Linked DNA regions of Canis lupus familiaris. The main gene of each other region encodes a partner of the protein of the gene in region 2 in a complex. Links are inferred from orthologs where the notes say so. Each region holds a gene or a part of one and is shown on either strand. Other genes may lie near its edges. The genes, in order: PRPF6, PRPF4, PRPF3, LSM6, LSM5, PPIH and USP39.

The links.
Region 1: PRPF4 (region 2) and PRPF6 share a complex: the UniProt entries of both Homo sapiens proteins name them as parts of the U4/U6-U5 tri-snRNP complex. The link is inferred for Canis lupus familiaris from reciprocal best matches to the Homo sapiens genes PRPF4 and PRPF6.
Region 3: PRPF4 (region 2) and PRPF3 share a complex: the UniProt entries of both Homo sapiens proteins name them as parts of the precatalytic spliceosome. The link is inferred for Canis lupus familiaris from reciprocal best matches to the Homo sapiens genes PRPF4 and PRPF3.
Region 4: PRPF4 (region 2) and LSM6 share a complex: the UniProt entries of both Homo sapiens proteins name them as parts of the precatalytic spliceosome. The link is inferred for Canis lupus familiaris from reciprocal best matches to the Homo sapiens genes PRPF4 and LSM6.
Region 5: PRPF4 (region 2) and LSM5 share a complex: the UniProt entries of both Homo sapiens proteins name them as parts of the precatalytic spliceosome. The link is inferred for Canis lupus familiaris from reciprocal best matches to the Homo sapiens genes PRPF4 and LSM5.
Region 6: the proteins of PRPF4 (region 2) and PPIH are in contact, whole or in part, in a crystal structure (PDB 1MZW), measured with the Homo sapiens proteins. The link is inferred for Canis lupus familiaris from reciprocal best matches to the Homo sapiens genes PRPF4 and PPIH. Residues at the interface, in NP_004688.2 of Homo sapiens: Arg113, Gly116, Glu117, Pro118, Ile119, Thr120, Leu121, Phe122, Gly123, Glu124; in NP_006338.1 of Homo sapiens: Phe14, Arg26, Phe46, Cys47, Thr48, Gly49, Pro57, Ile58, Gly59, Tyr60, Lys61, Gln173, Cys174, Gly175, Glu176, Met177.
Region 7: PRPF4 (region 2) and USP39 share a complex: the UniProt entries of both Homo sapiens proteins name them as parts of the U4/U6-U5 tri-snRNP complex. The link is inferred for Canis lupus familiaris from reciprocal best matches to the Homo sapiens genes PRPF4 and USP39.

The regions. Positions count from the first base shown.
Region 1 is NC_049245.1:48,289,014-48,292,513, reverse strand, and holds part of PRPF6 (pre-mRNA-processing factor 6), read right to left. Parts: intron 3,019-3,500; exon of another isoform or gene 2,912-3,018; coding exon of another isoform or gene 2,841-2,911; intron 1,739-2,840; coding exon 1,570-1,738; intron 273-1,569; coding exon 154-272; intron 1-153. UniProt on the Homo sapiens protein: Involved in pre-mRNA splicing as component of the U4/U6-U5 tri-snRNP complex, one of the building blocks of the spliceosome.
Region 2 is NC_049232.1:68,065,220-68,068,719, forward strand, and holds part of PRPF4 (U4/U6 small nuclear ribonucleoprotein Prp4), read left to right. Parts: intron 1-1,497; coding exon 1,498-1,620; intron 1,621-1,730; coding exon 1,731-1,838; intron 1,839-1,928; coding exon 1,929-2,047; intron 2,048-2,562; coding exon 2,563-2,756; 3' UTR 2,757-3,500. UniProt on the Homo sapiens protein: Plays a role in pre-mRNA splicing as component of the U4/U6-U5 tri-snRNP complex that is involved in spliceosome assembly, and as component of the precatalytic spliceosome (spliceosome B complex).
Region 3 is NC_049238.1:60,216,107-60,219,606, forward strand, and holds part of PRPF3 (U4/U6 small nuclear ribonucleoprotein Prp3), read left to right. Parts: intron 1-362; coding exon 363-509; intron 510-3,500. UniProt on the Homo sapiens protein: Plays a role in pre-mRNA splicing as component of the U4/U6-U5 tri-snRNP complex that is involved in spliceosome assembly, and as component of the precatalytic spliceosome (spliceosome B complex).
Region 4 is NC_049236.1:44,949,823-44,953,945, forward strand, and holds the start of LSM6 (U6 snRNA-associated Sm-like protein LSm6), read left to right. Parts: upstream 1-1,323; 5' UTR 1,324-1,482; intron 1,483-2,691; exon of another isoform or gene 2,692-2,796; intron 2,797-4,123. UniProt on the Homo sapiens protein: Plays a role in pre-mRNA splicing as component of the U4/U6-U5 tri-snRNP complex that is involved in spliceosome assembly, and as component of the precatalytic spliceosome (spliceosome B complex).
Region 5 is NC_049235.1:44,955,705-44,959,696, reverse strand, and holds the start of LSM5 (U6 snRNA-associated Sm-like protein LSm5), read left to right. Parts: upstream 1-1,192; 5' UTR 1,193-1,304; coding exon 1,305-1,350; intron 1,351-2,436; coding exon 2,437-2,532; intron 2,533-2,817; coding exon 2,818-2,845; intron 2,846-3,521; coding exon 3,522-3,594; intron 3,595-3,992. UniProt on the Homo sapiens protein: Plays a role in pre-mRNA splicing as component of the U4/U6-U5 tri-snRNP complex that is involved in spliceosome assembly, and as component of the precatalytic spliceosome (spliceosome B complex).
Region 6 is NC_049236.1:754,211-758,337, forward strand, and holds the start of PPIH (peptidyl-prolyl cis-trans isomerase H), read right to left. Parts: upstream 2,801-4,127; 5' UTR 2,712-2,800; coding exon 2,646-2,711; intron 2,417-2,645; coding exon 2,352-2,416; intron 2,101-2,351; coding exon 2,077-2,100; intron 1,800-2,076; coding exon 1,755-1,799; intron 860-1,754; coding exon 817-859; intron 1-816. UniProt on the Homo sapiens protein: PPIase that catalyzes the cis-trans isomerization of proline imidic peptide bonds in oligopeptides and may therefore assist protein folding. Participates in pre-mRNA splicing.
Region 7 is NC_049238.1:39,808,387-39,811,886, reverse strand, and holds part of USP39 (U4/U6.U5 tri-snRNP-associated protein 2), read left to right. Parts: coding exon 1-49; intron 50-1,396; exon of another isoform or gene 1,397-1,494; coding exon 1,495-1,647; intron 1,648-3,500.

The DNA.
Region 1 (3,500 bases), on a different chromosome or scaffold from region 2:
ATGTCTCTGCCTCTCTCTTTCTCTCTCTGTGACTATCATAAATAAATAAAAATTAAAAAAAAAAAATTAAAAAAAAAGTAAAATCTTTTAAAAAAATAATTAAATAAAATTAAAGTTGGATAATTAGATATGAAGGGCAATACTTTATCTTACCTTCTTTCCTTTCTTCTTTCATCCATCCTTTTATCAAGAGCTGCATAAATAGCATCTGCTTCCTCATCATCCTTTTCATAGGGCCCACTTGAGAAGAGGCTCCCAGCATAGCCATTAAACTAAGCACAAAACAGAGAAGGTCAGCAATTCCCATAAGTGGAAACAGAGAACACATCTAGTTATGTTTGCTGAACAATTTTTTTTCAATCAGACAATCCCCAAATCAGGGAAAACAAAATAACTAAACAGTTCTTTTCAGATGTGTCATGGGGAGGAGGTGCCTGGATGGCTCAGCCGGTTGAGCAAATGACTCTTGATTTCGGCTCAGGTTATGATCTCAGGGTCATGAGATCGACCCCCCGCATCAGGCCTCATGCTCGGTGGGGAGTCTGCTTGAGATTCTCTCTCCCTCTGCCCCTTCCCCACCCTGTGTTTGTGTGTGTGTGTGTGTGTATGTGCATGCTTGTATGCTCTCAATAAATCTTAAAAAATAAATAAAATCTTAAAAAAAAAAAAGAGGTTTCGTGGGCATGAAAGATGGAGAAGTTACCCCAATAAGAAGACGAGAGACACAAAGAATGCAATGCAGGGTCCTCGATCAGAAATAGGACACCACTGAAAAATCGGTGTTAATTTAATAAGACCTATAAATCAGTTAGCAGTGCTGTGTCAATGTTAGTTTCCTGGTTTCAATAACTATATTGAAGGGATCCCTGGGTGGCTCAGTGGTTTAGCGCCTGCCTTCGGCCCAGGACGTGATCCTGGAGTCCCGGGATCGAGTCCCACATCAGGCTCTCTGCATGGAGCCTGCTTCTCCCTCTGCCTGTGTCTCTGCCTCTCACTCTCTCTGTGTCTCTCATGAATAAGTAAGTAAAATCTTTAAAAAATAAAAATAGTAACTGTACTGAGGTCATGTAATATAGAGAGAAGCTTGTGAAGGGTATGCAGAAATTGTCCGTACTATTTTTGCAAAGTTCCTGGAAGCTTAAAATCATTTCAAAATTGAAATTTTAACAATCTTTCCCTCTGAACAAAAATGCCATCTGTTAGAACACATCTGCAGAAAATTTCAACAGACCAAATACTAATCAAGTAAGAGAGCATGCACTGAAACGTAATAAATCAAGTATCATCCTCAATTCCACTTAGAATCTTCATCATTAGGGACCAGCCAAGACACCACCACAATGCAAGTACATCTCTCAAAAGTGCACATCTCTTTCTACTTTTCCTGCTCCCCTCTCACACTCTGCTAAAGATACCCCGTAGGAGGCTGAAATACTAGAGGCTGAAATACTAGTCATGCCAGCCCCCACCCCTGCTCCTGCCCCGAGCGGGCATCAGATGCCAAGAGCGCAGTGGGCTCAGAAGCTGGTCAACCCTTCTGGAGACCGGCCGGGAGTGCACACGTGTCACCTCATCATAGTTGGTGTCGTTCAGATCCTCGTCATCGTCGTCCGCGGCCTGGCTTTTCTTCATCTGGTCCCCGACGGTCCTCTTGCCTGGGGGTGCATGGCGGTCATCCACAGGGTCATTTGCATCGCGGGCGGGCCCAATATCTGACCGGGTGGTAAAGCCAGTGGCACTGCAAGAGACCCGGGGACATCGTTTATCTGGGTGACCCCGTCCCTTTGTTCTTTCCTCCACAGTCCTCCATGACAGCTGCTCTTCTAACGTGTCTGGGGAGAAAACCCCCGAGGATCCAGGCAGCAACGCGCTAGGGATGCTGCACTCTCAAACGTTACTAGTCTGTTCTCTCCGTGGGAGACCCCTTTGGACCTACTCTGCGGAGCCCCACCCACCACCCACATCCTCCTGGAGAGATTCATCAGAGCATCAGAGCTCCGACCTCCCGAGTATCCAGCCTCCTGCTTCTCACAACCCGCTGATCATCTCCCCCAACCAGCCCCTCGGGATGCCCTCTGTGCTCATCCTGCCGCTGCCCTGGGCTGCTGCCGCTGATGACTGCAGCGCCATCCCAAGTGCCGAGGCCCACACCAGGGCATCAGCTTTGCCTCCCTCACCCGCCTTCTCCGCCCCGTCAGTCACCAGGTTCTACCCAGTCTACCTCCGAAACCCTCCTCCCCAAACCTGAGCTTCCCCGGCAGCTGGGACCCCGCTGGCCGCCGGGCCTCTAGCCTTCCTGGGCCGCCACACGGGCGTGGTGGGGTCGGTGGCTCCTCGGGCTCTGCCCCCCGACCTGCGGCATCACCCCACTCACCTGCACTCGGCTCGCACAGACTCCCCGAGACTCCCTCATCTTCCTCCACGCCTGCCCTTTTTTCTTGACCACCCAGCACACATCAAGCCCGCTTGTCCCTTAGCCCCAGCCACATTCCCGCGTCCCGGGCCCGCTCTGCTCCCAAGCGGGGCTCAGGTGCCACCGCTCCGCCGAGCACGCCCCGGGCTCCGACACCTGTTCCCTCTGCACCTGATACGCTGCAGGTGCTCGGAGGCTGGTGCCCCCCCCCCCGCCCCCGCAGGGAAGCCCGATACCGGCCTCAACCGACGACCGGCCGGGACGGCGATGCCGCGGGGCACCCGGCGCAGGGCAGGGCAGGCGGACCCGCTCGCAGACCCTCGCGGACGACGCCCCGGGACGGCCCAAGGCCCGCGCCGCTCGGCTGCTCCCCGGCCCAGGCCCAGCCCCCGCCCGCCCGCCGCCCCGAGAGGCCCCCCAGCCTCACCCCCGGCCCAGCCCCGGCACGTAGCCGAGCGGCGCGGGCATGCCCAAGAACGGCTTCTTCTTCTTGTTCATGGCGCCGGTGACGACCAGGGCCCCGGGAGCGACGGCGCGGAAGCCGCGGCGGGAGGCGGGAGGCGGGAGGCGGGAGGCGACAGGCCTTAGACGACCCCGGCCGCCGCACCGGAAGAGCTCGCGGGCTCCGCGTCACCCGCGCCCCGGAAGCAGAGCCCCGGGGCCGCCGAAGCCCCGCCCACCCCGCCTTCCCCGGGCGGAAGTTCCCGAAGAGCGACTTCCGGCTGCGTGCGGGGGCGGCAGCGGCGGGGGAGAAGGTGACAGGCGCATGCGCGCGGGGGCCTGGCGGGGGGGCGGGGCCTCGGCCTGAGCCTGGCGCGTCTTTACTGGTTTCCGACGCTTTTCCGAGGACACCGGCCTGTGCCCTCCCTGGGGACCCAGGACCGGGCCTAGGCGGGGACGCTTCCCTTCCGAGGTGTCCTGGCCCCTGTGCCCCGGGGGACGGGCTCCAGGCCTCGGCGCTCAGGCTCCCGGGCGGCCCGCGATGCAGGCACCGTCCTGAGCGGGCTCCACCGCCCCGCGCACCCCCGGACCCCGGCCCTGACCCTGACCCTGCCGGTGGCACCTGCACCCTGCCGGACCCCAGCCC
Region 2 (3,500 bases):
CTTTTGTGCAGTCTCCAGGTGCTTTACCTATATTTTTTAATTGAGTTTTTTTTATTTTCACAAACAGTTCTATTATTATTTTTTCGTTTATTTGAGGTGGGGTTTTTTTGTGGGGGGGTTTTGGTGTTTTAAGTTTTATTTATTTAATGGGCGCCTGGGTGGATCAGTCAATTGAGCATCTGACTCTTGATTGAAGCTCAGGTCCTGATCTCAGAGTTGTGAGATCAAGCCCCCTACTGGGCTTCATGCTCAGCACAGAGTCTGCTTAAGATTCTCTCCCCGCAGGGGATCCCTCGGTGGCTCAGCAGTCTAGTGCCTGCCTTCAGCCCAGGACGTGGTCCTGGAGTCCTGGGATCGAGTCCCACATCAGGCTCCCTGTATGGTGCCTGCCTCTCCCTCTGCCTGTATCTCTGCCTCTCTCTCTCTCTCTCTCTCTCTCTCTCTCTCTCATGAATAAATAAATAATTTTTTTTTTTTTTTAATTCTCTCCCAGGGTTCCTGGGCAGCACAGTCATTTAGCGTCCAACTATTGGTTTTGGCTCAGGTCATGATCTCAGCGGTTTTGGGATCGAGCCCTGCATCAGGCTCAGCGTGGAGTCTGCTTGTGTTTCTCCTTTCATTTCCCTCTGCCCCTCCCACTTGTGTTCTCTCTCTAAAATAAATCTTTAAAAAAATTCTCTCGCTTACCACTCACACTCTTTCTTAAAAAAATAAAACCTAAGTTTATTAAGATTTTATTTATTTATTCATGAGAAACACAGAGAGAGGCAAAGAGACATGGGCAGAGGGAGAAGCAGGCGCCCTGCAAGGAGCTTGATGTAGGACTCAATCCCAGGACCCTGGGATCACAACCTGAGCCAAAGGCAGATGCTTAACCACTGAGCCACCTAGGTGTCCCAGAATCTAAATTTTATTTATTTAAGTAATGTCTACACCCACGTGGAGCTTGAACTGACAACCCTATGATGAGTTGCATGCTTCACCAACTTAGCCAGCCAGTGCCCCTCTACCACCATTTATTGAAGAGATTTTATTTTCCCTGTTGAAATTGCTCTAGTAGCCTCATCAAAATCATTTGACCAAAAATGTGTGGGTCTCTTTCTATCCTCTCTCATTTGTTGCATAGATGTATTTGTTTATGACTGATTTTTGTATCCCCAACATCCAATTTAAGGCCCAACAAATACTCAGTGAATGAAAAGAGTTAACAGTAGAATTGAAAAAGAAGGGAGGCTACAGTCTCTGCTGGGCCATTCTGGGTATTCTTAAAATCGCCCCTGAAGTAAATTTATGGAAGTCCATGGTTTCCCAGGTAGCACTCAAGACAGATAATGACTAGTTGTTGAAGTATTTTTTATGCCAGAAAAGGATTTCTTCTTAATATGATTATATGAATAGTTTCAGAAGCATAATTTAAGCTATAAGCATTTATAGTACTTCACACATTGTAGGAACTGAATATCTGCTAGTTAATTATTAGTTTGATTTTTATTGTAGCTATGACCGCTCGTGGCGCTTATGGGATTTGGAGGCTCAAGAGGAGATCCTGCATCAGGAAGGCCACAGCATGGGTGTGTATGACATTGCCTTCCATCAAGATGGGTCTTTGGCTGGCACTGGGTAAGCCTTCTTCCACATAGCCAGGGGCAGATCAATAGTTCACCTGTTACGTGTGCCTGCTTCCATGGAGAAATGGATTCAAAATGTTTGCTTATAAATTATTTTGTCAGGGGACTGGATGCATTTGGTCGTGTTTGGGACTTGCGCACAGGACGGTGTATCATGTTCCTAGAAGGTCACCTGAAAGAAATCTATGGAATAAATTTCTCCCCCAATGGGTAAGATCAACTAATCTCATGAGGAACGGGAAGGGTTATTGGTCAGAATGTGTCTTTGTTTCTAACTTTGATACTACATCTGATCCACAGCTACCACATTGCAACTGGCAGTGGTGACAACACCTGCAAAGTGTGGGACCTTCGACAACGGCGTTGTGTCTATACCATCCCTGCCCATCAGAACTTAGTGACTGGTGTCAAGTTTGAGCGTAAGCTTTCCTCCTATTTTGCCTAATCACAGGACAGACAGATTGCACTTCCGCGGAATGCATGCCAAGCTTTAGCTTAACTTAGAAGTGGAACAGGAGAGAATTTGGCCTTTGTTGAAAAAGGAGCAAATTCTAAGTTCCTTTCCTCTACCATATTTTCAGACAAAGCTATGGCATAGCATGCTTGCTTTAGGAAGTGAAGAAGACTTCTATAATGCTTTGAGTCCTTTTTTTCCCTGAAAGTTGTAAGCACTGCATTCTTAATTTATTCTAAACAGATGGTCAGGGGAAGAGGCACAAGCCCTTAATATTGTTGTTTTTTTCCCTAAGTCTGCCTATAGTCCTTTTCTCCTGGAGGCCTTGTGGGAATGTAGATGAGAAGATTGGGCTTTTCCAAATGGGGAAATACCTTCTTTTTTGAAATCATATATTGTAGCAGATTTTTGTGCTTTTGTTTTCTTTGCTCTTTTGATACTTGAATTCCTCAAGCAGCTCCTCCTTCTTTTCTCTTAAAGCTATCCATGGGAATTTTCTGCTCACTGGTGCTTATGATAACACAGCCAAGATCTGGACCCACCCAGGCTGGTCCCCACTGAAGACTCTGGCTGGCCATGAAGGCAAAGTGATGGGCCTAGACATCTCTTCTGATGGGCAGCTCATAGCCACTTGCTCATACGACAGGACCTTCAAGCTCTGGATGGCTGAATAGGCAGGACCAGGGAAGAAGGACTCTAAGCTCAAGCTCTTTCTTAAGGGCCATTTTTAAAAGAAAGGAATTGACCTGTTTAGTTCATCATGTTTTTTGCCAATTACCATGTATAGACCCTCAAAAGAATTGGATTTCCAGGTCAGCCTCCACTCCAGATAGAGAGCCCAGTCTCTGGGTGTTGACGAACTCCTTTCATAGTTGAAATTCTAATTCTCATCTTCAAGCCTTGCCACGGACTGTGTAGACATTGTTTTTTATTAATCTTTTGTTTGAATGCCCTGTTGCCTCCTTCACAGCACTCAGGATTGTGACTGGCTACATTTTTAATTTTGAAACGTGGCTTTCCATTACATGGTACATGCTTCAGGACTCCATGTGACCCACAGAGCAAGGCAGCTGAACTGGGAGCTAGTCTGGGAGCCCTCTTGGAAAGAGGCATTTCTCCCTACACACTGGTTAACCAATGCCTTGACAGAACCTTTCCTCTACCTTGAGAACGGGAGATGAAGAAGTAGACCACAGCTATGCTCAGGGTTTGCAGTAAAGAAGATTTTACCTCTTCCTGTTGAGTTTGCTTGGAATGCTGACTGCATCGGGAAGCTCAGAACTGAACATTTGCCCTGTCAGAAAAGGTCTTCCTTTTTGCTTTGAGGTTTGGCATCCTTTGTGTTACCCCGAAGCTGGGCTGTTGTGTCAAGATGGCAATGAAATTTTTAGAAAGCAAAAAGGAAGTCTGTGTGTCAC
Region 3 (3,500 bases), on a different chromosome or scaffold from region 2:
TAAGAGGATGTGAAGCAACAGTTTGATCAGAGTGGGATAAGATTATTAATGAGGAAAACTTCCTGGAGGAGGTGAGTTTTAGGCAGGATTTGGAACAGGGATATGAAAAGTTGAGGGAAAATCATTACAACTGTAGGTAGTAGCGTTTCTAAAGACTTTGAGATGGGAACATTTATAAGGACATGGAGATGAAATTTGCTTGACTGGAGTAGGAGAATGATGAAGTTGGGTGAGATGGTCCATTTGGTGGAGGGTCTAGAGGCCTCTGGGAAAAGCCACAAAATGCTGATAGGGACTAGGATGATTCTTCCTTTGTCCCGTGGGCAGGGAGACAACTCTTATTTTGTCTTGGGTTTCCTTAGGAAGTGTTTGGTGATGACTCTGAGATCTCCAAGGAATCATCAGGAGTAAAGAAGCGACGGATACCCCGTTTTGAGGAGGTGGAAGAGGAACCTGAAGTGATCCCTGGGCCTCCCTCAGAGAGTCCTGGCATGCTGACTAAGCTCCAGGTGAGTAATTAGGAACTGAAAGCAGTGATTTTATGAGTTGAAGAAGCAAGAGATGCATGGGTCCAGATTCATTGTGACCTTAATTTGAATTAGTGTTTAGCATCGGGAACTTTTATTTCCTGTTTTATGTTTTGTCATTTCTCAGTTTAACGAGGAGTATTCCAATGAAGACTATTGAAATTGCATTTACTCAGGCACCTGGGTGGCTCAGTGGTTGAGCATCTGCCTTTAGTTCAGGTTGTGATCCTAGGGTCCTGGGATCAAGCCTGCATCGGGCTCCCCACAGGGAACCTGCTTCTCCCTCTGCTTATGTCTCTGCTTCTCTCTATGTGTCATGAGTAAATCTTTTTTAAAAATTGCATTTACTGGGATCCCTGGGTGGCGCAGCGGTTTGGCGCCTGCCTTTGGCCCGGGGCGCGATCCTGGAGACCCGGGATCGAATCCCATGTCGGGCTCCCTGTGCGTGGAGCCTGCTTCTCCCTCTGCCTCTGTCTCTGCCTCTCTCTCTCTCTCTCTGTATGACTATCATAAATAAAAAAAAAAAAAAATTGCATTTACTGAGTACCTATTATGTGGCAAACAAGGTGTATTACACATATCATTTAGCCAGTTGTGTACCTCATTGGATCATTGAGAAAATTGTTGAAGTAGGGACGCCTGGGTGGCTCTGCGGTTTGGCGCCTGCTTTTGGCCCAGGGTTTGATCCTGGAGACCCGGGATCGAGTCCCACATTGGGCTCCCTGCATGGGGCTTGCTTCTCCCTCTGCCTGTGTCTCTGCCTCTCTCTTTGTGTCTCTCATGAATAAATAAATAAAAATCTTTAAAAAGAAAAAAAATTGTTGAAGTAATCAGAACTCAGCTTGATGGCAGAGGAGAATTTCTAAATACAATGCAGAGACAGTATAACCCACTAAAATAATTTTTTTATTAATAATTTTTTAAAAGGATTTATTTATTTATTTATTTTATGATAGAGGCAGAGATACAGGAGGAGGGAGAAGCAGGCTCCGTGCTGGGAGCCCAATGCGGTACTCGATCCCAGGATTCCAGGATCGCACCCTGGGCCAAAGGCAGGCGCCACACTGCTGAACCACTCAGGGATCCCCCACTAAAATAATTTTAAGTTGACTTAAAATTGTTGTTTTTTTAAATATGTGATTGAGAGACACAGAGAGAGAGGCAGAGACACGGGCAGAGGGAGAAACAGACTCCATGCAGGGAGCCTGATGTGGGACCCAACCACAGGACTCCAGGATCATGCCCTGGGCTGAAGGCGGGTACTAAAGTGCTGAGCCACCCAGGGATCCTCCAAGATGTGACTTATTTAGAGAGCATGCACAAGTGAGAGAGGAAGGCAGAGGGAGAGAGAGAGAATCCCAAGCAGACTTTGCTGAGGTCAGTGCAGGGCTCCATCCCAGGACCCTGAGATCATGCCCTGAGCCAAAACCAAGAGTCAGACGCTCTACCAATTCAGCTACCCAGGTGCCCCGACTTTGTGTTTTTGTTTTTAATAGGAATTTTCTATATTTTTAGAATGGACTTTCTTGGGGTGCCTGGGTGGTGCAGTTGGTTAAGTATCTGTCTTCAAAAAAAAAAAAAAGTATCTGTCTTTGGTTCAGGTCATGATCTCCGGGTCCTGGGAGCAAGCCCTGCATGGGGGTCCCTGCTCAGCAGAGAGCCTGCTTCTCCCTCTCTCTCTGCCTATCCCCCCTACTTGTGCTCTCTGTGATACTCTCTCAAATAAATAAATAAAATTCTTAAAAAAAGAGAGATTAAAGTAAATTTTTAAAAAATATTTATTTAGTCATGAGACATACAGAGAGAGAGACAGGCAGAGACACAGGCAGAGGGAGAACCAGGCTCCATGCAGGGAGCCCGATGTGGGACTCGATCCCAGGTCTCCAGGATCACGCTCTGGGCCGAAGACGGTGCTAAACCACTGGGCCCCTGGGGCTGCCCTAAATTAATTAATTTTTAAAAATGGGCTCTCTTAAAACAATTTTGATACTAGCGCACCTGAGCAGCTCAGTCAGTGGAGCATACAACTCTTGATCTTGGGGTTGTGAGTTCAAGCCAGTTGTGTGTAGCGATTACTTAAAAAAATTAAAAAAAAATAATAATAATAATAAATAAATAAATATATAGAATAAAAAAAGGAACAAACAGGTTTGATACCATATAAACAGTAAATACTTCTTCAACCATTTAAGATTTCCTGGAAGGGAAATAGAATATATACATATGCATATCGGTGGGTGAATGGTGAATGAATTTTTTTTTTTTTTTTTTTTTAAGGTGAGGGAGGCAAAGGGAGAGAGAGAGAATCTTAATTAGGTTCCATGCCCATTGCATCTCCTGTCACCCAGCACGTTGCTTGTCTCTGGGCTCAGTCTCCTGGCCCTGAGATCATGACCTGAACTGAAATTTAGAGTTGGACTCTTGGGGCACCTGGGTGACTCAGTTGCTTTAGCCTCTGCCTGCAAATCAGGTCATGATCTCAGGGTCCTGAGATCAAGCCCCACATCAGGCTCTCTGCTAGGCAGGGAGCTTGTTCTACCTCATCCTCTGCTTGTTGCTCTGCCTGCTTGTGCGTGCACGCCCACTATAAATGAATGAATGAATGAATAACTTAAAAAAAGAGAGAGACTCCTAACTAATTGAGCCACCCAGGCATCCCTAAATTTGCTTATTTGTATCTGTAGATGATAGTTCTGCAAGGAAAGAAACTGATAACTGGTGCTTTATGGAGAATAGAGGTGGAAGAAATAATAATATACCCTACTGTACTTTTTTGCATTTTGAACTACTCAAAAGAAATATTAAGAAAGTAAATTTTACAGGGGTTCCTGACTGGCTCATTGAAAAAAGCATGTGACTCTTAATCTTGAGGTCGTGAGTTTGAGCCCCAAGTTGGATGTAGAGATGACTTAAATAAATTTTGAAAATAATTTAAAGTAAATTTTAAAAAATAGAGGGGCGTCTGGGTAATTC
Region 4 (4,123 bases), on a different chromosome or scaffold from region 2:
TAATTGTAGTTTATCAATGGTGCCTGCTGCACTGGTCCAGCGGGGCCCTCAGAGATCCATGCCTCTTGGAAGAGGTAGCAACTATGCCTGCAGATGAACCATGCCCTTAAAACTTCTCATTGCCTCCTGCCTACCACACCCGTCTTAATGACTCCACCAGGGCTCTATAGCAATGAGAAAAAGGCTATGAATCAAAAAATTATTTTTTATGAATCACTGAAACAACCACTGAGGAATATAGTACAATTTGAGGTCTTTTGTGAGGAAGGCTTTTTAGGGACAGGGTTTTCTTTATATCTGATTATGTTTGTTCTTTGCAGCTAATTATTTTATTTAAATGATACTTAATTTTTTTCACATTATATCTTATACCGCAAGAGCTTCAAATAAAGCCTTTTCAAGAAATCTGTAATGCTTGGTTTTTACCCAAAGTGAGCTTTTATGGAAGGATATAAGGAAATCTCTTTTCACCACCAAATCACACCCAGTTGTTCTCTGGCCGTCATATCAATCAAAGATTCTTTCTTCAGCTAAGACAGGTTTACGAGAGGGGAAACTCATGTAGATCTTAGGGAAAAAACCCTGCATCTTAGATCTGTAACACTTAAGAGTTAAGAATCTGTCCAAAGATATTATTTCTTTGTTTAGAGTGTTGCAAATCACAAGCAGAATTAAAGTATAGGTTTTAAGTTGAGGGTATGTGTGTGAGGAGAAAAAGGAATCAAGTGTTGGTATAACACTTTACTTCTTTTTCTTCGCCCTTTCCACTAATAGCAAGAATATTGAGAATCCATGCAGAATTCCAAACCAAGTTCCCATAGCAGCACTTAAATAATGTCTGCATACCATTTCCAATTAGAACTAGATTGTAATGTAACGCAAGTCATACCATTATAATACGGAGCTACTTTAGGGATTTTAATTCTTTTTGTGGCAATTACGTTGCCATGGAAACAATCTCTTGCTAATAATGACTTCATCGCACGATCAAAATCCAAAGTGGATTTAAAGATTTGAGGATGCCTGCTTTATTTATTTGCATTAACTTTTTCAAGGACCTTTCCGAGCCTGTATAGTCATGACCCTAGTAGTCAATTCCAGTTTAGTAGGACTTCAAGCTATTTCTTGCATCTCTGCCTAAAGGAAATCCTGCCTAAAAGATCACTTCCAGGCTTTGTTTTGTTTTAAGTATTTTAAGGGGTGTTTGCTTTCTGCTAAGAGGTAGCAGCAGCGGCTCTTTCTCCTCTGACCGCCAAAGCCCCAACTTTGCCTTCGGGCCAAACGAGACTCCCGGCTCGGCGCGCGCCGCCGAAGCGCGGCCTTCTTGGGCCCCGCAGGCTGCCGTAGCCCGGAAGGGCGCTCCCCGGCGGCCGCAGAGGCGCGCCGCCCGCTCCGGCAGTTTCACTTTCGGTTTCGCCCGGGCTTCGGCGGAGGCCGCAGCTGCGCGCCACCTGGAGCGGGGGTTTGGGTCCCGGCCGCCAGGTGAGCCGGGCGGCCGCGCGGGCGGCGGGGGCCCCGGTGTTCGCTGGCCCGGGGTGGGTGCGGGGAGCGGCAGCCGGGAGGCGGGCCGCGCGGACCCCAGGGGCCCGGCCCAGAGCCCCCCGGAGGGGCGATGGACCCCGCGGGCGCCCGCCGCAGCCTCCCCGCGCCGCCGACTCGCCTTCCGGGACCGGGACCGGGGCTGCTGGCGGGGTCCTCGCCGGCGGGTGGGCGGGAGAGCGGGCCGCGGGGCCCCGTGGGCCGCGCCGGGTTCCGAGGGCTCCGGGGCCGCCGCGGCCACCTTACCGGGGCCTGGGGCCTCGGGCCGCGGGCGCCCGCAGGGTACGGCGTCGAGTCCTGGCGCCGGGGCTGCCGCGGATGAGCGCGCGCGGCCGGAGCAGGGGATGGGGCCTTAGGGTGCCCCCCCCCCCCCCCAATGCCGCAGAGACACAGGCTGTGGAGATCCTGGACTCAGAAGCGCTTAGCGAAGGAAGCCCTATTCACTGAACCCCTTCCATCTTTACTCTTGCACGTGCCACTTCCTGTTTGAGCTACGACTACCTGTGCCCTCCGTTAACAGTACAGAGAGTTGTCCGCTTTCATTGAAAAGTGCCTCTTAAATGTTATTTCTGGTTTTGCGCCTTTTGGTGGGCTACCTGTTCTGTCCTTGTGTAGGTCCCGTAAATTATTCAGCCATTTCCCGACTGTGAGGCATTTAGGGTGTTTGCGAATTTTTGTTTCATCCTAGCATCCCAGGTAGTACTTTGATAAACGTTATTTTTAAAACTGCATTTCGGATGATTCACTTGGATTGATTCTGAGCAAGGACATTTTTACAATAGGTGCTGTGCCCCAGTAAGGTCTCTTCAGATCTACATACCCCTTGCCAAATTGTTTTCCAGGAGAGTTTTAGCAGTTTGCATTTCATGTAAGGTTGTGCCTGTTTTCACCAAAAGTATGATAGCTCATAATATGTATTTCTAACACGTCACCCTCACTTTTTTTTTTTTTTTTTTTTTTTTTATGGTGGTGTTTCATAATGCCAATTGCTTGAATTTTGTGCAGGAGTCTAGAGAATTATCTTGGGTTTGTGTGTGTGTGTGTGTGTGTGTGTGTGTGTAAAAGTATTACTGGAGTTCCTGCATAGGCTGACAATGTTAGAGCAGGATGATCTCTTAAGTGGTCATCCAGCATAACTCCCTTATTTTGCAGATGAGGAACCTGGGGCCTTGAGAGGTGAAATGATGAGTTCTCCAAGGTATACAGCTACATTAAGTAGCAGAACTGGGATTAGAATTCAGGTTTCCCATCTCCCAAGTGAGTACTCCTTATGCTGCATTGGGTGGTCTCTCACTAAACTGTGGCATACTTGTATGAGCATTTTTAAAAATCTTGGCATCACTTGAATTATTTTGTCCTGTTAGAAATAACAGAGATTTTAGTCATCTGAGGGAAGTGTAACACTTGGGAAATTGACCATTTTCAGGACTGGGACTAAGAAATCCATTACTTAAAATGGCAACCCTTCAAGATTTTTTTTTTTAAAGATTTTATTTATTCATTCATGAGAGAGAGAGAGAGGCAGAGGGAGAAGCAGGCTCCATGCAGGGAGCCTGATGCGGGACTCGATCCCAGGACTCCAGGATCACGCCCTGGACCAAAGGCAGGCGCCAAACCGCTGAGCCACCCAAGGATTTCCCCCCCTTCAAGATTTCTTGACAGTTGTTTTTAGATTCCCTTTATGTCAGGATAAAGTATCTAAAAAGTTAGAATTTAAAAAAAAATTAAAAGTTAGAATTTGTACTCGATCATCTGATTAGAATTGAGCTGTTTGTTCTCATTTGTTATACCTTGAAAGTTTTTTAAAACTCCTTGTTGCTTGAATACTAGAGAACAATGGTTTTTTGATAAAGGGTTTATAACAGAGTTTTTCAACCTCAGTTGACATTTTGGGCCGGATAATCCTTTGCTGTGGAGCACTGTCCTGTGCTTTTTAGAATGTTAAGCAACATCCTTGGCCTCTATGTCCTAGCACCACCCTCCTCATTCAAGACAGTCCAGAATGTCTCCAGATGTCCGCATTTGCTTACAGGAATCATTTGGGAAGCTTTATAAAATGTCAGTTACGGTGTCCCCTTGCCTGGGGAGTCTGACTAGGAGTAGTAGACTTCAGGAATCTGCATTTTAACAAGCATCTCTGTTGACTCGGATGCAGCTGGTTCTTGTACAACACAGAAACATTTCTATTTTCTTTGTCTTTTATTTGGTGGTCAGTAGCAGAGATATGACTGTGGTATAGCCATTTAAGTGCACAGATGATGCAGTGCTAGTCACTATACCCATAGTTTGCGGGTAGGGGTGAAAGGGACAGGGATTTTCCTTGGCACTGTCCTCAAATGTCTCCCACAGGATTGATTGGCCGGTGAGCTTAGGTTCCTTTTCCCCTGTCTCTGAGAAGCTTAGAACCTACTGTGGGAGACTGATCAACAGGAAAACTGCAGAACAGCCTGCTAAATGGGAAGGGGTGCTCTCTGAGTGCTGGATTCATGGCTGGAGTGAGAGAGGGGAGGAAAGTGGCCCTCTCCTGGATGGGGAGGAGGAATTGGTATGAATCCTTCAGAAGAGGGCTAGGTACCCCCTCTGT
Region 5 (3,992 bases), on a different chromosome or scaffold from region 2:
TACTCAGCAAAATGCCAAATAGTGTGTAGCTAATGCATATTTGTTCCATGAATGAATGATGTGTGTATTACAACTATCTGTTGTATGAATGAATGATGTTTTTTTCTGCTCTCTCCTGTTTAGACTCGTCAGCCTTACGTTCCTGGGATACAAATATGAAACAGACTTAAGGCAGAGAATTTGTTTGCTTTCTATTCTTTGCAAAACAGAAGTGCAAAAAGCCTGGGATCCCTGGGTGGCGCAGCGGTTTGGCGCCTGCCTTTGGCCCAGGGCGTGATCCTGGATACCCGGGATCGAATCCCACGTCGGGCTCCCGGTGCATGGAGCCTGCTTCTCCCTCTGCCTGTGTCTCTGCTTCTCTCTCTCTCTCTGTGACTGTCATAAATAAATAAAAATTTAAAAAAACAAAACAAAACAAAAAAAAAACAAAAAGCCTTAAGGTTTCCTGTGTGATGACATTAGCGGACAGTGACATCTGGTGGCTGCTTATAAGACAAGACAGTTAAGTGTTGAAAGTGGATACAGTCTGTGATAAATTGGACTCCTAGCTACAACAAGGTAAGAATGATAAGGTAGTAGGCATAAAAATAAAATGTGTTTTAAATTTCCACTGTAGAAGGTTTTTTTTCTTTTTAAATGCTGGTTGTGGGTTTTCAATTCACTGGACTTTAAAAAGAAGCACTAGATTCTTTTTTCTCTCTTCTTTAAATAGGCTCCGCACCCAACGTGGAGCCCAACCAGCGGATCCTGAGATCAAGACCTGAGCTGAGATCTAGTCTGAGGCTTAACCCACTGAGGCACATGGGCGCTCTAGGAGTAGATGCTTTGAAAAACGGCTTTTACAAAAACTGCAACACAGTGCATTAGTGGCAAAAAAAAAAAAAAAAAAAAAAATTTTTGGTTCGGTCTGAAAAAAGATCCTGGCTTGAGATGAGGTGCAACTTCATAGCAGAAAATAAGACGATTCAAAGATTTCCGTATTTTGCAAAACCTTCCGGGTTGCAGGAAGGATTTATTCACAAAGCAGGATCCCTTTAGCGTCTGTCTGTCGGAAACTGCCCGGGGAAAGCCGCTACGTGCCCAGACCGCACCACCTGCAGCGGACGGAACCTTCTCCCCGAGAGCTCAGCGCCCGGGAAAGAAGCGATTGGGAAGGAGCGACTCCTGCGGACTGATTGGATCGCAAGTTCGGCCTCCGATTGGTCGAGCCTGTCCGGGCCGCGGGCCGGCGGGGGGAGCGGAAGCGCGCTCTTTCAAACTTGCCGGGCTGACGGCGAGGCCGGCGGGCCACTTCCGGCGTAGCCATGGCGGCCAACGCTACCACTAACCCGTCGCAGCTGCTGCCTCTAGGTAATCGCGGAGAAGGGGACCGGAGGGCTCAGGCTAAGTGTTGGGGCCCGGGCGGCTGCGGCTGAAGTAGCCCTTGGTCGAGTGTTAGGGAAATGTGGGGATGAAGGGCCTCAGTGCTCCGCGGCTCGTCTGCCGGCTCCCGAGTGTCTGCGGCCCCGGGCCGCCCGGGAGCCTCTCTGCACTAGGCACGAGGGCTGGGCGCTCTTGGACAAATTCAGACGCCTCCCACTGCCTGCGGATAGCACACACACCAGGAGGAGATAGAGCGCTCCACCTGTAAGCATCACGCCGAGTGATAACGAAGCCAGCTAACGAGGCGTTCAAACTGCGGTCCGAACACAGAGATAGTGACAGGAAGAAATCTCTGGTGGATACGGTTGTGCCTCTTCCGATATTTTGTAGCCAAAGAGTTGATGGAGTTATCGGAAGTGGCCTTGTTTTGGAAGTTTTCATTCTTTGATTCCACCAACTCTTTTTGAACGCTTGCTATGTGCCAGACATTGCCCACTGAGGATAGAGTCCTGGGAAAACAACCACAGTTGTTTCATGGGGCTTAGACTCTTAAAAAAAAACATCAAACAAACATTTTTATTCATTCATGAGAGACACCCAGAGAGGTGGAGAAGCAGCCTCCATGCAGGGAGCCCGATGCAGGACTCGATCCTAGGACCCCAGGATCACGCCCTGGGCTGCAGGCAGGCGCTAAACCGCTGAACCACCTGGGCTGCAGGGGGTGGGGGGGGCTCAGATGTTAATTATATATTAATTATGCATTTCGTATGTTAATCAAAATCACTTAAAATAACATTAAACCACAACCGTGATGGATAAACTTCAACAAAGGAGAGGTAAGTGGTAAACAGGACGTTTTTGTTTATGCAACAGAGATAACGTACCGTAAAATCTCTAAAGTTTTTGAATGAATACTTTCTCTGGTTTATCTTTCACAGTAAGTAACTAACAAGTGCCAGTAGGCATTCCAATATTTGTTGAAGAAATGAACAGGTAAAATAATCTTTTTTTCTCCACCCCCCCACCCCTCTTTTTTTTTCTTTAAAAAAAAAAAATATATATATATATATATAGAGCTCGTGGACAAATGTATAGGATCAAGAATTCACATTGTGATGAAGAGTGATAAAGAAATTGTTGGCACACTTTTGGGATTTGATGACTTTGTCAGTATCCTTTCAAAAGGTGGTGGTGGTATGGGTTTTCCTGCAGTACTTAAGAACAGAAATAAGAATATGGACAGTCAGTACGTAACTGGTTATTGTATTAGAAATTTATTCACCTCTTGATAGCGTTTTAAGAGGTGTGTGTACTGAAAAAAGATAAAGTTCCTACCGATTACTAGTATTTTGCTCTGGAGCCATTGTATTAAACGTTGTAATTAAAATGGAGTAAAGATAGAAGCCAGAGTAAATTCAACCTGGTATATGTATTTTTCTTAACACCAAATTTCAGATATGGTACTGGAGGATGTCACTGAGTTGTGAGTAGTGTTAAAAATTAAAGAATTGGGGGGAATCTCTCCTTAAGTCAATTTTAGTATTAATGAGTTTAAAATGATTAATGAGAAAACATTGCCTGTCAGAAATACCTTAAAGATAGAAATTTTATCTACTGACACTGGTAAAATTGGATCAGTTATTACCGGATGTAATTATTATGTTATTATTAATGACTGGTAGGGACTTAGTGGAGACTGAGCTTTGAGATAAAAGATACTAAAAACAGCCAAGGATGTTTGTGCTCAGACAAATCAAGGCATTAAACTTAAGATATAAATGATAGCTCCATTATATTAGTTTTAAAGATCACAACCAGTGTCTGCTTTCAAAATTGAGTTGATTACAGATTGGTTTAATGGGTAAGGGATTAGTAGTAAATAATAGTAAAAAGGTGAGGCTAGTAAACATTCCATTTCATATTTGATCTCTTTGGCCAGTTTTAGCTTCTTTTAGTTTTGATCCTAGTGGATGTGGATCTGAGGCCAGTCAGTTCACTGTGTTGCCTTTGGTCATCCAGTGGATAACCTTTGTCTCTGAAAACTACTGACATAATTGCTCAACCTCATATTCATATAATATAAGAATAACTTTTTTAGGGATCAGAATGTTGGCTTTGATTATCATTGTTTATCTTGACTCTTTTATTTCTTCATTTAGTGAAATCACACCAGAAGGAAGAAGGATCACTAAATTAGATCAAATTTTGCTAAATGGAAATAATATAACAATGGTAAGGTACAGTAAAGCTGGGCGTTTTTTTAGATGTAGCCCATTTTTGTGAGGCAGAGATTACAGATTACTTGGCTTGGTTAAATAAATGTTCATGGCCCAGTGGGTTTAAGTTGGGAATGAGATGCTCCTGTGATCAGGGCTCTAAAGCTGAGCTACTGAACATGACAATAGGCTTAAAGATTAGTTTGCTTGGGCTTTTTAATCTTTTGGTTTGCCAAGAATCATTGTTTAGACTCTAAGTATTAATTGACGATGTTGGGATTATAAACAGAAGCAATGACCTGGAGAAAATGGGAATGTGGGGGAGGAGCAAAGAGGCCAGGTATCTTTGATGGGTGAAAAGGGGTTTTTAGATGATGGGTGTGGTGGTGGTATTAATAAGCTCTTTTTCCTTCT
Region 6 (4,127 bases), on a different chromosome or scaffold from region 2:
TAACCTTTCCTAGACAGGAAGGAAGTCTTTAAAAATTCCTCAAAGTTTAACTAAATAAATATACATAAGAAGGAGAAAGACATCTCCCAAGACTCAAGAAAATAGCAACATGACTAACCAAATGATATTAATAAGACCACAGACATGCACACAAGTGGTTGGTTAAGAACAAAAGTAGATTTAAGAAGAGATATGGTTTATTCAGCACCTTCCAGAGTCAGAGGAGGGCGAAGAGGCTTGGTATGAGAGACACATACAGTCTAGTCACAAGAAAGTCCATTAATCGCAGCGAAGAGCCATTCTACTGGGCCCCGCTAGTAAATAGAGGAAACATCCTTCCAGAATGATCTACCTCTGTTGCTCTGATTCTTTGCCCACTAAATCGGTTTCTGATGAAAAACTCAGCTTTCCAGGCATGTGCAAATAGGACATAAGCATTTAGCTCACTGAAAGAGAACTTACTGCCATTTAGAAAACAAAACAATTGCATCTGATTTCTACCCAAGTTTCATGTGACTGACTAGTTTGCATCTCTCATGGATCATCTATAGGCATGCTGGGAAAGTTAGCTTCTGGCCCTAAAAGGCTGATTTGGAAGTCAGTGACTCAATCAGGGTGCTGATGTCTGTCACCTAATGGTATAAAGAGTGGAAGCCAGCAACTCTAAAGGACATTCCTGTCACCCCTCTTCCTCATCAAACTTGGTTATTGTTTCAAGCCTCAGGACTGGACTCCGTAGCAAAAAAAATAGCAGCAACAGCAGTAATAAAAACCAATATTCCTACAGGTCTTTATTAGCAAAGAAATAATACTTACATTAACAAAATCCCCACCCTGGATCATGAAATCTTTTATGACCCTGAAACAGAGAATAAAGCATCCTGAGAGAAGGTTCTGTCATTTAGAAAAACATTGACGTACTCATTATACTTTAGATTAACACTGATTTAAAAATAAAACGTTTTTTAAACTTTGGTGTTTTGTTTTTTTTTTAAAGACTTTATTTATTTATTCATGAGACAGAGGGAGAGAGGTGGGGGGGCAGAGACACAGGCAGAGGGAGAAGCAGGCTCCATGCAGGGAGCCTGAGGTGGGACTCGATCCGGGGTCTCCAGGGTCACGCCCTGGGCTGAAGGCGGCGCTAAACCGCTGAGCCACGCGGGCTGCCTCCTTTTTAAAGAATGTTCTGCTCTAAAAAAAAAAAAAAAAATGTTCTGCTCTTACTGGCTTTAGCTAATCAGAATCCATCCCTGGGGGTCTGGGGATGGGGGGAGAGGATGCTGAGAACACTGTTAATTGTAACCTTGCACCTACTGTTAATACCTTGGCATTTCTGCTGAATTCAGTTGGCAAAGTTCTGGTGCTAAACCGCTGAGCCACCCAGGGATCCCTTGGTTTTTAATAAGCCTTCAAATCTATTGTTGAGTTCACAAAAAACATTCCTTCTCAAGATCTAGGAATTATCCTATGGTTTTAGTTCCCTTTAAAGAAATGAATCTTACTTTCTAAAGAAAGTAAGAAATTACAGGGCAGCCCGGGTGGCTCAGTGGTTTCGTGCCTGCCTTCGGCCCAGGGTGTGATCCTGGAGACCCCGGATCAAGTCCCGCGTCCGGCTCTCTGCATGGAGCCTGCTTCTCCCTCTGCCTGTGTCTCTCATGAATAAATAAATAAAATCTTAAAAAAAAAAAAAAGTAAGAAATTACTTTTTTAGAAAGTAATTCTAAAATCCTGCAGGATGGTTTGCCAAGCCTTACCTGTGGAAGGTGCTCCCTTTGTATCCTATCGGAACCCCATCTTTTCTATAACCAAAAAGAAAGAGACTTGGAATGACGACAAGTAATGACAGGTCTTCCCAGCTTCCCACACACTCGAGCCAAGAGACTCTCTAAAGGTGGTGGGGAGGAGAGAGATAAAGGAGGCAAATGAACTGAAGACAGACCCTTGGGGTATTAACCTTCTACTACCGGCACCAGCAATCATTCAAGGCCTACGGGCGTGGTTCCCCAAAACCCCACTGCGGCCCCGGGGCACCCTTCAGGAGCGAGCAGACGAGTCAACCACGTCTGAGAGACTGACCTGAATTCTCCAGTGCAGAACTGCCTGAAAGGGAAAAGAGGGGATGCTTCAGTCTCGGTGACCCCACAGCGGGGGGCGCTCCTGGCGCAGAGGGGCGGGGAGGGGAGCGCGGCCTGAGCCCCCCGCGGGCCCGCCGGCCTCGACACCCAGAATTACGATGAACTGAGATGGGAAGGGTAAAAACGGGGACAATTCGGAGCTCCGATCTCAAGGGCGGGGAGCGGGCCGCCACGCAGGCCCGGTCCGGCTCCCGGTTCCGATGAGCATCCCCTTACCTAAAATTCTCGGCCGTCTTCGGCACAACGTCTGCAAAGAGCTCGATCTTCATGCGGCCGACCTCCTGCAGGCGGCGGGACACGGTCAGAAGGCCTCAGCGAGCAGGGATCCGGGGGGGCGGCCCGGTCCCCCCCGCCCCCCGGCGGGGCGCTGGGATGCGCGAGACGACTCCTCTCCCTCCCGAGCCCCCCGCCCCGCAGGTCGGTAGGTCCCGGTCCAGCTTCGCCTTCTGGCTTCCCGAGTCCGCTATCCCCGGGTGCGGGAGACCCTCCCGGCCGGGCCTGGAACCTCACCTGGCCGCCGATGCTGACATCAAAGAACACCACGGGATTGACGGGGCTTGAATTTGCCACCGCCATGGCTCCGACCCGGAAGCAGTAGCCGCAGGCACCGGTTCCGGCGAACCCGAGCCCCGATTTCCGGGGCTTCTACTCGCCGGCGCAGGCGCAGGCAGAGCCACCCGAGGCCAGGCCCCGCCCCCCGGAAGTCCCGCCCCGCTGCGGAGCGCTCCCGGCCTCCGGCGCCGAAACTGGGCGTCGCGGAAGTGGGCGGGGCCAAGGCCTCCGAGCCGACGTACACGGCGCGTCTTTCCCCCTCCGCTCAGTGTGCGCCGCGGCGGCGCGGGAGGCGGTGGGTCTTAGGTGCTGGACCCTGAGCGCTCGGGTTAAGCCGGAACCGGAGTTCTGGTTCTGCTCGCGAGCTGCCCCTCTTGTCACCTACAGTTCATTCCTGCTGGAGCTTTTTGTTTTTTTCCCCCTTTTAAAGATTTTCTTATTTAATCACGAGAAAGAGAGAGGCAGAGACACAGGCAGAGGGAGAAGCAGGCTCCATGCAGGGAGCCCCACGTGGGACTCGACCCCGGGTCTCCAGGGTCACACCCTGGACCGAAGGCAGGTGCTCAACCGCTGAGCCACCTGCCCCCAGCTAGAGCTTTTAAAATGAACCTGTTTATAGATCATTCCTGGCCTCCCATCCTTAGCTCTAGTGCCTACTATTGAGTAGCCCATAGTGAGGATCCAATAAATAGATTCAATGAATTGAGTGAAAAAAGGTGACCTTGGGCAAGGCTTAGAGTCACAGCCTGTATCTGATATCATAGCTATTGTGTCCTATATCCTTTGATCATCCTTTTTGGCCAGTTGTCTGCGGAAGCAGGGGTTACATGTAAAAACTCAATGTCTCAACTTAATGGTGTCTTTTTTATTTTTAGTTACTTTTCCTTTCCCCTTGGTATCCTTCTCTATCTCCAACTGAAGAGGGAGAAGAAAGAGTCCGAGGAGAGTAGGAGGGAGAGGAGCAGGATGGGAAGAAAGAACAGCAGGAGTCACCCTTCAGTATAGTTTATACCAACTATTCTAAAATAATTTTTTTTTAATTGGTAATATCCAATGTTGATGAGGTTGTGGAAAAACCAGTGCTAGTGAAAATCAGTGATGATGCCTAGCATTTGTTAAGCAGCTACTAAGTTCTAAATACACATTTCATTTACTTTGGTCCTCACAACTCTATGGGACAGGAATGACTACTGTTCCCATTTATGGATCAAGAAATTGAGGCTTAGAGAGGTTGACCATAGGGGCACCAGTGGCTCAGTCGATTAAACATCTGACTGCATCTCAACTCAGGTCTTGATCTTAGGGTGGTGTGTTCAAGCCCCACATTGGGCTCCATGCTGGGTGTGGAGCCTACTTAATAAAAAGAAAAGACAAGAAAAAAAGTCTGACTATAGAAACATTATGTTGACACAAGTTTTTCTTTTTCTTTTTTTTTTAAAG
Region 7 (3,500 bases), on a different chromosome or scaffold from region 2:
CCTTCCAGACAACTATGAGATCATCGATTCTTCCCTGGAGGATATCACAGTATGTGTCCATGAGGGTTGATTTGGAACTAGTTCTCTTGGGAGCCATCCCAGGGCTCCTGGGGATCTGCCCCACCTGAGGTTACGGAAGAATCTCAATCCCTTGGGCTTGGAGAGGCTTCTTTTTCTTTGGGAGGAACCAGGGAGACTCTAGTAAGAAGATCAGGATTCATAAATGTGGTCTGATCTGTAGCCTAGCTGTTATTTCTGCATTTAATGTTGAGAATTAGGACTAAAGAAATATGGCTACTTTCTAACTTTAGGACTAAAGAAATATGGCTACTTTGTGAACTATATTAAGCTTTTATACTTTGGAATAGGGATGTGAATTGGGCCTGGTGTAGGACAGTGGATATCAAGCTGCATACCAGCTCCTGGCTACTTTTGATATGATGCGGCCAGAATGGCCAGTGTATCCCATATGTGGGCTCTGGTGTGTGATCTGTGCCAAGAGTCCCTGTATTTTTTTTTTTTTTCCTTTTTAAAGATTTTTAAGATTTACTTACTCATGAGAGACACAGAGACAGGGCCAGACACCTAGGCAGAGGGAGAAGCAGGTTCCCTGCGGGGAGCCTGATACAGGATTCAATCCCAGGACCCTGGGATCACAACCTGGGCCAAAGGCAGACCCTCAGCCACTGAGCCATCCAGGTCACTGGATGGAGCCATCCAAGAGTCACTGTACTTAAGTGGAGAGCATGGAAAGTCTTCTTGGGTTTGATTAATGTTGAAACTGTTGATTATAATTTTCCTTTTAAGCAAGTGTCTACATACACATGTTGACTGCTCTGTTCATTTTTAAGGAAAGCTTGGTGTTCAGAGTTTTGAAACATTATTTATGCTGCTTTTATAAGTTTTATAGGCCTATTAACAATTGAGGTTAAAGTAGTTCTAATACTTGGAGAAAGAGAAACAAATAAATGCAAGGTTTTAAAATGAATTAGTAGAAGACCTCTGTTCAGCCCTTTACATAATGACCCTTGTAACTCTGGGACTGGGGAAGGTTCTGTTCCTGCCCCTCTAACCACAGAGAATTCATGAGATCTCAGGTTTGCATTACTGCTTCTGTGCTGGGCCTATACTGGCTCTGTGTGAAGTCCCATGTGAGATTCTGCCTCCTGCTGCTTGCAGAAACTTGAGTGTCCTCCAGCTTCTGACAGTCATTTAATTTATCATGGAGTTGGCCAGACCTGGGGCTTGAGGAAAGACCTAGGATTCAGTGATTTTGGGTTAAACACAGAGATCCCTTTCTACATTAATAATGTGGAGAGGGCCTGTTCCATATTACCTCAGCCTTTATACCTATTGTTGGGAGCCCTTTGGGTGTGTGGTGAGGCATTCACAACCAAAGTGTTTCCTGTTTCTGGCAGAAATTGCTATTTCAGATATATCTTGTGAACTCTGTAGCAGTCCTGCAACAGCTTGGAATTTTCTTTTGCTTTGCAGTATGTGTTGAAGCCCACTTTCACAAAGCAGCAGATTGCAAACTTGGACAAGCAAGCCAAACTCTCCCGGGCATATGATGGTACTACTTACCTGCCAGGTATTGTGGGCCTGAATAACATAAAGGCCAACGACTACGCCAACGCTGTCCTTCAGGTAGGATCAGGATGGGAACAGTGGGGGAGGGAGAGAGGTAACCTGGGAATACCATGAAGTTTAGCCAAGAAATGACTCCTTTCTGTTATGATCATTGGTTCTTGAAGACATCAAGTCTTGCTGAGGACTGTACTTGACTATTTTTTTTTTTTAAGATTTTATTTATTTATTAGAGAGAGAGAGGGAAAGAATGAGTGGGAGAAGGGAGGGGCAGAGGGAGAAGGAGACTTTCGGCTGAGCAGGGAGCCTAACACCAGAACTGGATCCCAGGTCTCTGGGATCATGACCTTAGCTGAAGGCCCACGCTTAACCAGCTGAGCCACTGAGGCGCCCCTGTACTTGAGTGTTCTATATCAAACAGAACATTTCTGTGTCAGCTCAAAGGGCTGCTGCCAGATGGTGAGGCCTCTTCTAGCCTCTGGAGTCAGTGGCCTCTGGAGTTTTCAAGGAATGAAGGATAGAATGTGTGTATGGCTTGGGAGTACCAAATAAGAAACATATGTGCAAGATGGGGTGTGTGTGTGTGTGTGTGAAATAGTGCAGATGTTCCTGTGCTAGTTGTCTGATGTCTTGATCCTGCTCTTAAGCTTACGGCTTGAACTGAGGAATGCAGAAAACCAGAGTTGTCTTATTTGCAATTAAGGTTTGTTTATGTAGAGGCGCCTGGGTGGCTCAGTAAGTTAAACATCTGCCTTTGGCTCAGGTCATGATCCCTGGGTCCTGGAATGGAGCCCTGCATCTGTCTCCCTGCTCAGTGAGGAGCCTGTTTCTCCCTTTCCCTCTGCCTGCCACTCCCGCTGCTTGTGCTCTCCCATTCTCTGTCAAATAAATAAATAAATTCTTCAAAAAAAGTTTTTTTTAAAAAAACTGAGTAATATTATGCATTGTAGGATGGTTAGAAAATGTTGATAAACACAAGAAAATTAATAATTTTGCTTAATTGACCAAAATTAATTAAAAAAACAAATATCTTTTTGGGGGTAGAAGATATAGAAAGTTTAAAGTGAAGTCTTCATTCTTCCCTTTCTCTAGTAGTCCATTATGGACTGGTTTAAAAGCAAATTTTGAAAGAGGCATCTGGGTGGTTCAATTGTTTGAGCATCTGATTCTTGATTTTGGCTTAGATCATGATCTCAGGGTTGTGAAATTGAGTCCTGCCTTCGGCTCCCTCCTCAGCGCTGAGTGTGCTTGAGATTCTCTCTTCCTCTGTCCCTCCCCCTGCTCATGTGCTCTCACATACCCTCCCTCCCTCCCTTCCTCCCTCCCTCCCTTCCTCTAAAATAAAGAAAAAATTAAGAAAAAGGTATATTATGAAATCATTACTGGGATACTTCATTTTATTGCACTTTGCTTTATTATACCTCTCAGAGGTTGTTCTTTTTACAAATTGAAGGTTTGTGGCAACCCTGTGTTGAGGAAGTCTTTTTTTTTTAAAGATTTTATTTGTTCATGAGAGACCCAGAGAGAGAGGCAGAGACACAGGCAGAGGGAGAAGCAGGGTCCATGCAGGGAGCCTGATGCGGGACTCGATCAAGGAACTCCGGGATCATGCCCTGGGCCGAAGGCAGACAGACACTCAGCTGCTGAGCCACCCAAGCATCCGGAGGAAGTCTTTCAACACCAATTTTCCAATAGCATTTGCTCGCTTCTTGACTCTCACATTTTGAGAATTCTTGCAGTACTTCAGGTTTTTTATTATATTTGCATTGCTGCAATCTCATGATAAAACTTTAGTGAATGAGGAGTTGTTTCTTACGGATGAGTGAAGAAAGTGGTTTCTTGAGGTGGAATCTACTGGTGAAGATGCTGTGAGGATTGTGGAAATGACCACAAAGGATTTGGAGTATTACATA